2 linked regions of the Notamacropus eugenii genome follow. The protein of the gene in region 1 interacts with the protein of each later gene in a pairwise test. Links are inferred from orthologs where the notes say so. Each region holds a gene or a part of one and is shown in the gene's direction. Other genes may lie near its edges.

Region 1 (7,884 bases):
GGAATCAGTCAGTGCATGTGGTTATGCCATGAACAGAAGTGAACTTGATGAGGACAGTGATTGGTAGCCACTTTGAGTCCACTCTCCTCAGCAATCAAGGTGGTATGTAGAAGAGTGGGCTTTCTGTTTTCAGAGGTTGTTGTATTTTGGTACTTACTATAGAACTTCTCAGCAAATTTTCCTTTATAAAAACTAACTGATTTTAATTGGTTAATTTCTGATGATAAAGAGAAGATACTAACTGGTCTAAAAGATATTGGGACAATAATCACTGGTAATTAATATTGGGGAGAAATTACCGGATGAAGGCTCATGAACAAACATTATTACAGAAAAATTACCCTCCAACTCTTCAGGATTTTAACCCTGAAAGGAATAATATTCTTGGTTTAGAGAACTTACCTACCTATTTGGGTGAGGACTGAGAGAGTTGGGCTAGAACTTAGGCATGCTACATAAAAGCATACAGTACCATACAATAAAGTGTTTGAAATATGAAGACATGGGATTAATTCTGATTCTGATACTAACTGTGATTTAGGGCAGTTTCTTAAGGAAACAAAGGCCCAAACAAGCTATTTGTAAAAAGAGTTGAACTACGTAGCAATTTTCAAGGTCTTTTCCAGGTCTAAGTGCTATAAAGGAATCATAATTAAGTTTTTTCTCTTCATCGCTGTCGAATTAGCTATCTTTTAATGTATTATGTATTAATGAAGCAAATTTCTTTTAGTAATAATAACTTATGGTTCCATCAGTATTAACACTGGGTTATCATGGAATACATTCTGAAACTGAGATTAAGAGAAAGAAAAATCTAGGTAAACCCAAACCTGTGTATGTATTGTCCACAGTTGTCTTTTGACAGGTAGTCCTCAAAAGTAGGTTCACTGTAGTTTATATTTTGTTACTCATATTTATAAGGCCTTAAAGTTTGAAAATGACTTTTCTTACAAGACTACTAGCTATATAAAAGAATTATTATCCCATTTAATAGATGAGGAAAATAAGGCTGAATGATTTTTTTTTGAGTGACTAAGTGACAAACCACAATGACACTACTAGGAAGTTGTACTCAAAAGTTGGACCTGGAAGCAGGACTCAAACTTAAGCCTCTGGTTCTTTCTGTAGTGCTCTTACTATTGTATAAGTATTTCATCTCGACTATGAATTATTTTACATCTTGTAGCAACAGTCAAAAACAAGGCATGGCCACCTCTTTATCTTGTCTCTGTTCCCAAAACAGGTATTTGGGGCTATTTTTCAAGGCTTTTATAAGAGCTATCAAATAGACCCAAATATTCTTGGAAAACAGCTATCTAAGGCTAAATGGTGACCCTTGGTTCTTCTCTGGGTTATTCTGATTGGGTTTCTTGGGGGGTGGAGAAAACAGTAGCTGACAAGAAAGGATTTTTTCCAATTGCTTTCCATAATCGAGAGCTGAGACCTTTCAAAGGTATGGCAGATGTCCTAGGCATGGCCTTTAGGGACCCTTTTACTGCTTTGTGGTGCTAACTCTAAACATGAGAAAAAATTTTGATTAAGGATTTGTATTATTGTAGTAACATAGTTTTTTAAAATTAAATATGTAATATTAAGTATGTACATTGCCCTACTAGGTGGTGGAGGCATACAAAAGACGCTGAATTCTCCTTAAACTTGTTACTTCAGCAACAAATTGCACCAGGTTACTTAAAGAGCAAAGGAACATATAAAGGGGGCACAAAACAGTGCTGTGCTAAGAACACTAGATCTGCGCTTCTAGTCATAGTTTGAAAGCTGGAATCTAACCCCTTCATTTGGCAGAAGAGGAAACTGAAGTCCAGGGAGTTTAAATGGCTTTCCTAAAGTCACAAATGGAACAAGTGGCAGAGCTGAGAGCAGACCCCAAGTCCTGTGACTCCAAATCCATCATGCTTTCCTCTATACCACACTCAGAACTGGATTAGAATCTTGGTTCTGCAGTTTTCTACACGTAAGATCATGGGACAGATTCTGGGAGAGTCTGTGTCTCACATGCCTCATTTTCCCCATCTGCGCAAGTTCCCATGACTCAAGCACATTGTTACCTTCTCTGCCTCTTGTAGTCTCAGAGAGTTGCCTAGAATACTGAGAGGTCCAGTGATTTGCCCAGGATTACAAAGTGTGTATCAGAGGCTGGAGTTGATCCCAGGTCTACATGATGCTACTGCATATGAGATAAAGTACATGTTTCTGTATGTCATAAAGACCCATATATGATATTAATTATGCAAGAAAAATAAAGGATTTTAAATGTGGATAAGACAAAATTATCCCTCAGATCCAACTCTGAGAGTCTATAAAATGCAGTGGGGAGAAATAATAATTTCAAAATGCTTTACGCACATTATCTCACTTCATTGTCATAGCTCCATGGTCTTACTGTTTCAGTGACAAGATAGGAATTTGCATTTTCCTATGTCAAGGTTCAGTAGTCTTCTTTATCGCTGGTCTAGCATGATTAGGAGAGGACCACTACTGGGTATTACTAGTGACAAAGCACCTGCACTTGAGATTTAGGATTATCCAACCTTGTTCACTTATGTCCTATTCATCCTGACCCCATTTGGGATTTTCCTGGCAAAGATACTGGAGAGGTTTGCCATTTTCTTCTCCAGCGGACTAAGGCAAAGGGAGGTTAAGTGGCTTGCCCAAAGTCACACAGCCAGTATGAGGCTGGATTTGAACACAGGTCTTCCAGACTCTAGGCCCAGCTGAGTCACCTAGTTGCTTCCTTTATTTGACTTACCTGCTGCCTTACATTAGAAAGTTTATTCAGAATGTGAATACTTCCTTATTATTACCTCCCACAATTGTTAATCTCAGCCCAATTTTTTATTTGTTTTGTATCAGTTCTCCGTTTTTAATTACCTATATTTCTCCCTCTTTGAGGGTAGGGTTCACAACGTCAAGTAAATAAAAGGCATAATGTTTTTGGTGGGGTGGGACTTGTGATTTCTCCTGAAGAAGAAACTCTTACCAGTGTAAATCAGCATCAATTCAGTAATTTAAGTTGCCTAGGGGCACTGAGGGTTGTGACTTTCCTAGGGTAAAAAGAGCCTGTTAAGTCAAAGGAGGACAAGTTGAACCCAGGTCTTTCAGAATTAAGGTTCTTGTACCTACCAAGGTACCAATTATTGTACCTACCAAGGTACAATACCTCTCAATAAATGCTTGTGGAATTGAAACCAGTGCTTATTTAGCACAATGCATGACACATAGCACTTAATGAATGTTTACTGATTGACTGAAATAGGTGAGATAGCTATAGATACAAAGCTATACGGGGGCCCATGGCGTCATCTAGTCCTCATTTGTTTCAGTGGCCAGACCACTGGGCTGAGGAGTCAAAAGCCCTGGTTTTAATCTCACCTCTGAAATCTTAGCCAATTGACTTTATTTCCTTAGGCCTAACTCATCTATTAAATGAGAAGGTTGCACTAGATGGCCTCTAAATGATCTTATAGTTCTAGATCAAATAATCTTGATCATGCCCTGATAAGTTGAGAAGGAACAATATATTTTACTTCAAGTTGGAGGCATAGTATTAGGAAAAAAAAAAGAAAAAAAAAGGCCCTAAATGAGCAACTCCAGAGACTCACCTCTGATACTTTCTAGCTGTGTGACTAAGTCAAGTCACTTTAACCTCTCTGGGCCTCAGTTTCCTCATCTGCAAAGTGGAAGGATAATACCTGTACATCCTGCACAGGCTTGCTACATTAGAACCAAATGAGATCATGGATGCCAGCACCTATATAGACCTTGAAGTATAAATACCAGGATTACAGTCAAGCTCTGAGACTATCCCTCTGAAATACACTCCATATATCACAGAGGCATGACCTTGTAAACTGAAATGTGCTTTATAAATAGTTACAGTGAGGGATCACAGTAACCACAGATTTGGAGCTGGAAGGAACCTGAGAGGTCATCCAGCTCCCCCCCCCCCCCCATTTTACAGATGAGGTAACTGAGGAACTGTGAAGTTAAATGACTGGCCCAGGGTCCCACAGTTAGGGATGGTCAGCTATGGTATCTGAGCCTAGGTCTTCCACTATAAGAATGACAACATCCAAAATTGAAATATCGATTAAAGGTTTGCAAAGTACTTTATGTAAAATGGACTTTTCTGATCCTTACGGCTTGGGGAGGCTGTTATTAAAACACCCAGGTCTTTCTTTCTCTAAGAACAACTGCTAGCTAGCATTTCTAATTTGCCTTAAAGTTATTTTACCTGCGTTAGCTCATTTGATCCAGAAAAACAATCCTGGGAGGGAGGTGCTCTAATTACCCCCATTTTACAGATGGGGAAACTGAGGCACAGAAAGGTTGGGTTATTTTGTCCTTCCTGCCCCCGCGAAAGTGGGCATTATCCCCGTTTTACAGACGAGGAAACTGAGGCCGATTAGATGGGTGGGCCAGGGTCAGTCAGGGAGGGTCCGAGGCAGGATTCGAACCTGCGTCTTCCCGACATCAGACCCAGGTCTTGGATTGAGATGTCTCCGCACAGTCCCCGACGGGCGACGGCTCACAGTCAATCCGACCCCACCTTGGCCCACAAAGACAGTCCCCGCCCCTTCCCTTCCTCCGGTTCCGGAGGCTCTCGAGGCCCCACCCTCTTCCCCTCCGAAAACCACCGCGCCCGCTCTCGGCGGTTACCCTTCTCTTCCTCCTCCTCCTCCTCCTCCTCCGTGTGGGGAGGCAGGCAGACAGAGCATGCGCAGTGGGCGAAGGGCGCCTCCCCGCTCAACTCTCGCGATGTCTCCCTACGGGAGGCGGCTGGTGACGGGTAGCGGCCTGCCCTGAGAGGGGCGGGGGCGGGGGCGGGGGCGGGGAGGGAAAGAGTGTTTGTGTCCCGGCTCGGTCCGCCCGCCAGGTGCGCGCCGCCCCAGTGCTCTGTGGGAGACCGGAAGTCGTCTCCTCCTCCCGTCTCCTCCCTGCCTCCCCACACCCTCCTCCTCCTCCTCCTCCTCCTCGTCGCTCCGGCGCGCGCCCCCGCGCCCGCTCCCCCCCTCCACCTCTCCCCCCTCCCTCCCTCCCTCCTCCCCTCGCGATAAGAAGACCCGGCGGCCGGAGAGGGGGGGATGAAGATGGCGGACGCGAAGCAGAAGCGGAACGAGCAGCTGAAGCGCTGGATCGGCTCCGAGACGGACCTCGAGCCGCCCGTGGTGAAGCGCCAGAAGACCAAGGTGAAGTTCGACGACGGCGCCGTGTTCCTGGCGGCCTGCTCCAGCGGGGACACGGACGAGGTGCTCGAGCTGCTGCACCGCGGCGCCGACATCAACTACGCCAATGTGGACGGACTCACTGCCCTGCACCAGGTCTGTCCGAGCGCCGAGGCCCGGAGCCCCGTCCCCTCCCCCCCGGCCGGCCCGCCTGCCCGGGCCTGCGACCTCCCCGGGGAGAGACCTAGGACGGACGGGAAGGACGGCGCGGGGTGGGTCCGAGGCGTGGGAGTGGAGAGGAAAGAGGGGGTGATGGGCCAGCGCTGGGGGATCCCTCTTCTCTTCGCCAGCCGACGTGGACAGCCCGGCCGAGCCCTCCAGCACTTATTAAGCGCCTACTGTGTGTTGCCTTGTAAGCTGCAGGGCGAGCGTGCTTGGAGATCCCTCGTCGGTGTGTAAAGGGGGGGCATTTAGGGATCTGTGAGACTGGGGGAGTAGTCGGTGCGGGAGCGCTGCAGAAGCGCCTACTACGTGCCCAGAAACCCTTCTGCCCCCCAATACTGTGTGGGGGAGGGGGGCCGCCCGGGGACTTGGGGGACCGGATCCCCGCGGGCCTCGGGGCGATTTCCTGCCGGTCCCCCTCCCTGACTCTGGCGCCGCACTTCTCCTTGTAGGGCTGGACGTGGAGGGGGTGGGGGGGAGACAGTGAAGGGCTCCCCCCACCCCATCCCCCGCCGGAAGGTTGAAGTGGGGAGTCTGCTACGGAGCTTTGTGCCGCAGTGCCTGGGACCTTCCGTCCCTGCTCTCCCCTCTAGGGCCGGCTGTAGCGAAACTCGCCCATCGGTGACATGGAACTGTTCTGGAGTGGGGGGGGGGGGTCGGAGATCGTCTCGGGGTGCACGTCTCGAGGCCAGGTGGGGAGAAGGAAACTGGGAACTTTGCTCAAAATGGATGCTTTGTGCATGTTAAAGTTTTATAGTGGAGTCCGATCGGGATCTCTCAGTGTTAGCCAAATAAGGAGAGACCCTGGGCGATGCAGAGATAACGTGGAGCTTTGCCTTCCCCAGGCTCGAAGTCATGGTACCGAACCGCACACGGTTCGTCAGAGGAAAGCTGATGTTTGACTGAATGGTCGGAGTGGACAGCCTTGCGCACCTCTCTGCATCTCAGACCGAAGTGGGGTGTGAAGGCTGCGGCTTTGCTCTGAGCGATACCGTGGGGGCGAAGCTGAGGGCTTGGGTTTCATGTGTGTGAGCTTGCCTCATATTTTAGGGAGGTCTCTGAGCCCTTTGCCATTGACTGCTTTCAGTCTAAGTGAAATACGTACATTTGAAGTTTTGTTTCATGGGATCAGGCAAGTCTTTGTTTACCAAGTTAATTACGTGACTTAAAACTACTCACAAAGTAGTAGGGTAAAATGCCCCTCAAAATATGGTGGAGATGTCACTGTCTTCCTCTCATGTAACCCGTTCTAGCAAAATGATAGTTGTCTGAGGTTTGTTTTATGGTTAAGCTGATTACGCTTCATGCTTCAGGTGGTCAGAATGAAAAGGCATTTTCGTAAATTGATTTCCTTTCAAATTAAGATAAAATTCTAAATATGACCAGCCCTGGCAATTTGTGTCTTTATTCTTAGGGAGAAGAGCTTCATGCCTTTATAAGTCATTCTGTGCTGTTTATTTTGTTATGAAATACGGTTTTTGAAGAGGCAAATATAGTTGGGCAGACGTCAAGACCGTGAAGGGTTGGTTTTAGTATTTTAAAATGTTTCACCTTTTCTTCATTTGTCCCTGTTATAGCTGTGACCACAGTATATTTGAATGGGAGGAGAAAAGGGGTCATTTGTGATACGTTAATGACGATATTGGTTCAAACTCCACGATTTATATTTAGTGACTTTTCAGTTCCATTTCTATAGCTACTGTTTCAGTCTCTGTCTACACAGTGTCACAGCAATCACTTTGACTTGGTTTTAAACAAGTACTCATTTTTATTTTGGAGTTAGTGAGTTGAATTTTTGATACTCTGTAAACTTTAATGTATTTTAACTAGTTTATATAATTTATCTCATCATGTAAGTAGAAAGTCCTAGTTAGAAAAAACTTTTTTTGCATAAGAACTTTGAAGTATCTGATTTTTACAGCCCTCAGACTAGTGAAGTTTTATATTTTTTAAAATATGAAAGATAATTTTTTATTTTTTGTCATGTGTTTTTCTTAATTGGTATTTCTTGTGCACTAACCTTTTTGGACACTGAGTGTACTTTGCCATTGTGGTGAGGGAAGCAGGCACTTCTCTCTTGGAAAAGTGAAAAGAGTAGAGGATCTGGAAGTTCCAAAGGAAATTTGTTTGAAACAGAGAAAGCTGTTTGAAAGATCTTTAAGAGAGCTCCGCTACCTGTGTTTTATCAGCCACTGTAGTTCCTGCTGTAAGACAGACCTAATAACAAGGATGATAAAAAAGCTAATTCAATAATTTTTTTAATACTAATCCATTAAATAAAACCTCAAATATAATTGAGCGTTTTATATTTAATAACGTGTCAGCCGGACACATCAAAACATATTACAGTGCAGAAATTCTTAATGGATTAAATATTGGTCTGTTTTAGTTTATTAGTCTCTTCAACAAAAAAAATTGCGGATTTCACTTTGATGTGGAAAATCATTAAGAATTTCCTATTCCACTGATTAATATTCAT
Region 2 (7,222 bases), about 50 Mb from region 1:
GCAGAACTGGAGGACCAGAGCTCCCATGCCAATCATGCCACCCACTAGCTGGGCAGTCTTGGACAAATCTTCTCCTTTCTCTGTGACTAAGTTTCTCCCTCTGTAAAATGAGGGGGTTGGACTTGACATGTCTGAAATCTCCAGGACCAGCTCAGCAAAGCATCATGAGCAGATTTATCCCCTAAATTCATGCTCATCAGCACCCCAGGCTCGACTCCTAGAGCATGGATTTTTTCCAAGCAACCCCCTCCCAAGATCATCTTCTAAATTGTGGAAGTATTATAATCTGCTTCACTGAGAGGAGAGAAATCAGAGCTTCTTGGAGCCCTGGTGGTTACAGGTGTTCCTGATCTAGTACTACAATGCTTTCCATGGCTCCCTATGGCCTTGGTGGAGGGAGGGGATACAAACTCTTCCACTCAGTGCCAGAAGCAATCTGGCTCTAGTCTACCTTTCCAGGTTTACTTCATATCACTCCTAATTGCACACACCCTGGGGACACAGGAGATACAGGGTGGAGGCCTGATGGGGGGGAGATTTGAATTCAAATCTAGCCTGACACTTCCTAGCTGTGTGACCCTGGACATTTCACCTCTCCCTTACTCAGTTTCTTCATCTGTCAAATGTGGATAATAACAGCACAGGGCTGTGGTGAGGATCAGATGGATGATATTCATAAAGTGCTTTGCAAACCTTATAGTGCTATATAAATGGTAGCTGCTATCATCATCACCTTCATCATCTGCCTTATTTGCTGTTTGCAAATACGACAATCCAGTCCCTGCCTCCACATCCCTTCCCATGCTTGGAATCCTCAGTGCCTCCTCCTTCAGGAAGCCTCTCTTGATCTGCCTGGTCATTAGTGCTTTCTCCCCCTATAGATCACCTCTTTACTTCTCTGTGTTCACTTTGTCTCTCCTGAGAGAATGGAAGCATGCCCTACTTCTATTTTGTTGTATCCCCAGCACCTAGGACAGTGCTGCGTACACAGTAGGGCACAGGTTGAATAGGATGGTAAGAATCCTTGACCAGTCAGGATCTCATGGTTTCTCTAAATCTGGCCCAGGCACAAGGGTGCACCCCTCCCACAGGACCTGTGCCCAAGTCATCATGCCAGGGAAATGGCAATGTGCCATGTGATGTGGGCAATCTATATTCAGTCTGTCCCATTGCCAGTGCCCCTCCCCCCCATTAATTGGTTTATCGTTTGCACTTACTTCTGTGCAATTGTTGTTTGTTTTTGTTTTTGTTTTTGCCATAGATTTTAAGTTCCTTAAGGCCAGGGGCTGTTTCTTTCTTATCTCTGTATCCCCTGGGTTTCATGCCTGGAACACAGATGCTGGTTGAAGAATGATTTGGGCTTGATCCCTTGCTCTATCCCTCACTTCCTTGCAGCCTGGGTGACCCTCTCTGGGCCTCAGTTTCCTCATCTGTAAAAGGAAGGGGTTGGATTAGATGAACTGGCATGTCCAACATGCTGAGAAGTTAGGCACATGAATCACTCTGTCCCACTTAACTCAGTGGAACCTGCCAAACCTGCAGAGAGGGGCTGAGAAGGGCTTTTGTTTCAGTCAATTAATCACAGGCTTTGGGCCAAGGGAGAAAACCATGGAACAGGAGTGCCAGCTGTGCCCTTAGGGGTCATCTGTAAGACTCATCTTAAGTGATGTGATTGCAAAGGAGGATCCATTTGGGGGGAGGAGGGGCCTTGGATCTGACCTCAGCTGAGGTCTTCCTCCCTTCCCTGTCGGATGGAGGGCCTGGTGAGCTTTGAAGGGCCGGTGTGGGATTTGCAAGGCAGATTCCTAACTCTGCAAAGAGCCCAGCAGAGAAGCCCCTTACCTAAGGGGAGCCTGTGAGCACCCCACAAACGGGAGAAAAGTCCCATAGGCGAGTGTGCTCCCTACTTTCCCCTTGGACTCTGTGTGGGCTGCTGGGAAAGTGTCACACTTGGGATTGGGGATGTCTCATACCAGCCCTTCTTATCGTACCAGGGTAAATGGCCCTTTCTACAAACGAATAGTCTGGCTGACACATAATCAAGACAGGAAGCACACTGGTCCGGTCTTGAGTCATAGCACTAGAAAATCTGCTCTCCTAGAACCTTGCTGGGACTTGGCAACAAAGCTCTGGGGCTCTGACTTGTCAGACAGACTGAAGGTTGGGGAGTAATCCCAAAGCAGGAGCTCCCCACCAATACCACTTTTAAACTAAGGGAGTCCTCACCGCCAGTCCCAGCCCAGAGGAGAGGCTGCCAGCAGCCAGTCCCAGGCGGGGAAGTTTTCTCAGGGGTAACGAGTCAAGGGGTGTGTGTGATGGGGGCAGGCTGAAGAAGGCAGCGAGAGACGAATGTAGTTTGGGAGGATTTGGCAGAGAGGAGGGGAAGATAGGAAGCATTCCAGGTGTCAGGAAAGGTATGTGGGCTTTAGCTCCAGGCAGACGAGGGAGAAGCAGGGCCCGTCTGGCTGCAGAATCGGGACCAGGAATGTCTCTGCCAGTAGCAACAGACCCTTCCCCACCCCTGGCCCTCTCTCTGTCTTCCTTTTTCCAGCCAGGTCACGCTCCTGGGGCTCTCGGGCCTCTGAAAGGAGAGGGAGAGAAAAGCAGCCTCGGCTTTGGTCATGTCGGTCGATGCCGATTCCGCCCTCCAGAGCCCGGAGATTCTGGGGGGGTCATTGTGTCCCGGGAAATGGCAGCCCGGAGACGGAAGGGAAGTGGGCCAAGGTCTCATAGTTGGCGAGCAGCAGATCTGACTGGAGATGCGCGTCTTTCCAGCTAGCCCTCCACTCGATATCCAAAACCCAAACCCAACCACAGCAACGTGCGAGATTTCGCCCTTGGGGAGCCTGGTAGAGTACCCCACCCCACCCCCCACCCCGGTCCCCCCGCCTTCAGGTAGCTCACTTCCGAGTAGGGACACAAGACACAAACACAGTACGTCGGACTTGAAGATTGTTTTTTTCTCAATTACATGTAAGAACAATTCTTAACTTTTTTTGAAATTTGAGTTCCAAATTCCCTCCCCCCTCCTCGAGAAGCTAAGTAATTAGCTATAGATTACACTTCGGGGTACACAGCGCGGGAGGGCATAGAAAAAGTGAGGTAGGAGAGGACGCCTTTCCATTTCTGAGGGAGGGCTGGCTTTTTCAGCCAAGACCGTCCTTCCCACCTTCTCAGGCTCTCCGGGGTCCCACGTATCGCTCCTTCTTTTTCAGTCTCTTTCATCTCACTCTTTTTTTCCTGCCTAAAAAATGCCCCTGCCTTTTAACCACCGGGGAGTACCTAACGTGGCCATCTGCCCGCCCCTTTTTAGTGGTTCAGGGGGGTTCTCAGAGCCTGTACTCTATCTGTGGAAGCCCAGGTAAGGCCATGCTGCGCTCCTCCTGGGCTGGGGGCTTCACCCATCCGCGGGGCTGCTCAGAAAGCATTCTGCTTTCTCTGGGGCTCCCAGAGTCATGGCATCCCGAGCCCCCAGCTCTGTCCTTGTGGGCCGCAACTACTTCCTCGTTAGAGGGTAATGTGACCAGTGTGGCTTAATTAGAATCCCCTTACTTGTTTTCAGTCAATGGACCCCCTAACAGGTGAACGTGCCAAAAATGCACGCCTCCCGCGGTGAAAATCTTTCTTCGTGATCCACAGAAAACCCGAAAGGAATGAAATAAATACATGTTAAAAAAGAACTAAAAAGTGATGAATTTGGCAGGCTCTGGTGGAAAGAGCTCTGGTTCTGTCAGGGGAAGGGGGCGCTGGATCAGGCCCTTCTGAAGTCCCTTCTCCCTCGGAAGACATGCCGCCAGGACGTGCCCCAGACCTCAGGCTCTGCATGTGCAGGTGCCCTCAAGGTTGGACCTCGCACCCATCGCCTCCTGCCAGGGGGAGGCTCCCGGAGCCTGTTCACAGCCACAGCATCCCCAGCACCGCCAGCCCTGCTCTCACCGTCCTGTGGCTGGGCCTCTGGAGAAGGTACTGGTAGAGTCCAGGGCAGGGGACACACCTCGCCCACTCCCTTGAGGCTTCCATGCCCCCCGGAGCTGACCCAGGTGCCTGGGGAAACGCCGCGCCAGAGACTGGGCGGGGCTGGACACCCACTGTGTCCCCGGGGGGAGGGACTCCTGGAACTCAACACTCTGGGGATTGGGCGCTCAGGCCTTTGGGGCGGAGCCTAAACTCAGGGGAGTGTAGGGGACGGGGCCGAGGGGACGATTGGCTGCGGCTCGCGAGGCTGAAAGGCGGGACGGGAAGTGGAGGCCGCCGAAGATTGGCGGCGGAGACGTTGAGGGCAGGATTGGAGTCGGGAAGGAGGCGGTGGAGGAGGAAAGAGACACCCGATTGGGGGAAAAGGCGTTGGGGGCGGAACTCGAGCCTCCGAGAGGCGGGCTTGGGGGAGGCAGGGCGCAGTGGATTGGAGAGAAGGCCGTTGTGGGGCGGTTTCCTGAGCGCAGGGCCCGCCCCCTCGCGGAAGATGGCGGCTCTCCGGGAGAGCTTGTATCTTGAGGGCTTCAGCTCTGGGCCGATGGAGGCGGCGCTGGCGGCACTGGAGGCCGACGACGAGCCGGGCAGGCGGCTGGAGCGGTTGCGGGAGATTATAGTGCTGCTCCGGGAGCAGCAACACCGGTAACGGAGGGGCCGACGGGAGGAGAAACTGAGGCAGGGACCCTCGGGGACGGGGAGGGGGAGGGGCGCAGCGACCCGGAGCCAGGAACTAAGAGAGACAGAGGCCCTCCCCTGGAGATGGCCCCTCCCCCTCTACCTCCCCTGCGCTCAGGCCCCTCCTTCTCTGACATCCCCGGCTCCGACGTTTCTTGGGTTGACTGGAATGACACTGAGATCACTGGAACGTGCCGGCACTTGTTATCTCATTAACTGCCCCTCTAGAGTTCTTGGGGTGAGGCTGCCCGGCTGCCCCTGGGCCCTGGCTCCCTTCTTACTGTTGCAGCCGGTGCCCTCCCAGCCCTCTGAATGGGCGCCACATCTCTCCGAGCTGCTTCTGCCTCGGTGCATGGGCCTGACCACAGCGGTAGGGGCTAGAGCTTCGCCTTCACTGAAGGGCTGGCAGGCTTAGCAGGTGCCGGGCGCCAGTAGGCCTGTGGGAACGTTCTCTTCCTCCCATCCCCCTTAGCACCTTGTCTCCAACTCTCTGCCCTGGCCCCTCAAACGTTAGGTGGCGTGCCCCGTGTAGACTCCTGTTTGGTTGTAGCTGAATGATCGATTTTATTCCCATGGGAATGGTTGGTTCTGTTTCATCAGTGATCTTACTGGCTTGATCAGATTCTTTAAAATAAATTTTTATTCATTTAGATTGTTAATACCCAAACCCAAAGCCCTGTCCCTCCTAGTTGAGTACAGAATCCTGGCATAATCGACCTGGAACTAAATTAAACACAACCAGGATTCTCTGGCTACTAGCAGTGCATCCCCAGCCCATGGCCTTGGGGGTGGGCATGCAGACGTGAATGGGGCAACTCCTGCCTTCTATGCTATTGCAATCCATCCAGGGGAACAACACCCCCACACACCTATCTAACCTATCTAAAGGTTATTTCAAGGTGATCTGGAGAGGAGGGTGAAGAGAAGGTGCTAGCTGGGCTTGGTGTGTGCAGAGTGCAAGGTGGGGCTTCAGAGGAAACCAGAGATTCTGAGAAGGGGATGAGAGGTGGTGCTTTCTAGGAATGGGACATGGACCCTGCAAAGACACTGAGATGGTGATTTGGGTGGTTTGTGTGAGCAGGAGCCAGAAGGTCATCGAATAAGCAAGTGATTGTGATGTGTGAGAAAGGTGAGAAAGCCAATACACTACCTCCCAAGGCAGCCCCTTCTACTGTGGCATAACTAAGAGTTAGGGAATTTTTCCTCATGTGGATGGATTGATAGATGATAGATGGATGGATGTATAGATGGGATGCATATAGAGGGATACATGATGAATGGATGGATGGATAGATGGATAGATGGATGGGTGAATAGACAGATGGATGAATGAATAAACAGATGGGTGGATAGACATAGGATAGGGGATGGATGGATGGATGGATGGATTGAAGGATGGATGGTTGGAGAGAGAGAACATTTATTCATTGCTCTTGGTAGGCTGGGCCCTGCTCTGCCAGCCAACAGACTTGCCTCTCTGTTTCCAGCATGGGCTCTAAGTTCTGCCCTCTGGGCTTGGGCAGAACCATTGTCGTTCCTTTTTAGTTACTTGAAGACAGCTGTTGTGGGCTGCTTCACCTCCTTCCTCTAAGCTACACATCCCTGTCCTGGCGCAGCTCTCATGACCTGCTCCAGCAGGCTTGATGTGGGAGAGTGTTGGGAGGGTAGAGACAGCCTGGGTGTGGGGTGGCATCTTGGCCTTGGGTGGCCTGTGGGAGGGATCTTCTGCTGCCTAATGGGGCACCTAGGGGATGAAGGGACAAGATATACCACCTCTATCCAGTGGGGGTCTTGAGTCCAAGGGTGTCACTGCCCAGGGTGACTCTGGCAGAGGTGGGGAGGGGGTATGGGTAGATCCTGCTAAGACACATACCTCTACACCCCCTGCCCCCCATACGCATTCATACACATATTCCACAAACACACCCATATATACACTCATAGTCATGAACACACACACACATTCCCACTCACATGTACTCACACCTGCACATACACATTCACACTCAGTAGCTGCCTTCTCCCTTCCCTCTATTGTGTCCTTGGTGAAGGATATCTTCACTCCCTTATTTCCATCTGCCTCTTCTCCTACTTGGTTCCTCTCCTTCATTGGGTTTGCCCCTCCTCCCTATGTTTGCAGGGGCGGCTTTTCACTTGTTTTTGAGTTTTGGGGTCCCCAGGAAACCCCCGATGTTTGCTGCCTGGGCTCCTCCCTCCATCGTGGGCAGCATCGTGTCTTCTCTCTCAGGTGGAGATTCCTCCTTTTATTAACTCTCCTGTGTCTCTGGGGCTCCTGGAACTGGTGTTTTCTTCCTGGTAAAACAATCTTCCACGTCAGTAAAATCATCCATAAGAAGAGATGAGGGAGAATTCTATGTGTTGTCTCCGGCGATCAGCATGCCGAGGGCCACAGGCCCTGTCCCTCATTTTCATCTCACCCAGACAGGCTCTTCTGTATTTCCTGGGCACCTGACTGAGTCTGGTGTGTGAAGGAGGGGTCATTGACTGAGACAGAGCCAGAAGAAAATGGAGATGAGATTGGGGGAGGCCACTGAGGCTTTGACACAGGAAATTT

Evidence for each region. The genes of interacting proteins can lie anywhere in the genome.
Region 2: the proteins of PPP1R12A (region 1) and ATXN10 interact in binary tests that used the Homo sapiens proteins (3 or more experiments, as listed by UniProt). The link is inferred for Notamacropus eugenii from reciprocal best matches to the Homo sapiens genes PPP1R12A and ATXN10.

Annotation. Positions count from the first base shown.
Region 1 is NC_092874.1:259,791,083-259,798,966, reverse strand, and holds the start of PPP1R12A (protein phosphatase 1 regulatory subunit 12A), read left to right. Parts: upstream 1-4,826; 5' UTR 4,827-5,102; coding exon 5,103-5,339; intron 5,340-5,483; exon of another isoform or gene 5,484-5,634; intron 5,635-7,884. UniProt on the Homo sapiens protein: Key regulator of protein phosphatase 1C (PPP1C). Mediates binding to myosin. As part of the PPP1C complex, involved in dephosphorylation of PLK1. Capable of inhibiting HIF1AN-dependent suppression of HIF1A activity.
Region 2 is NC_092874.1:309,983,027-309,990,248, reverse strand, and holds the start of ATXN10 (ataxin-10), read left to right. Parts: upstream 1-4,207; 5' UTR 4,208-4,462; coding exon 4,463-4,614; intron 4,615-7,222. UniProt on the Homo sapiens protein: May play a role in the regulation of cytokinesis. May play a role in signaling by stimulating protein glycosylation. Induces neuritogenesis by activating the Ras-MAP kinase pathway and is necessary for the survival of cerebellar neurons.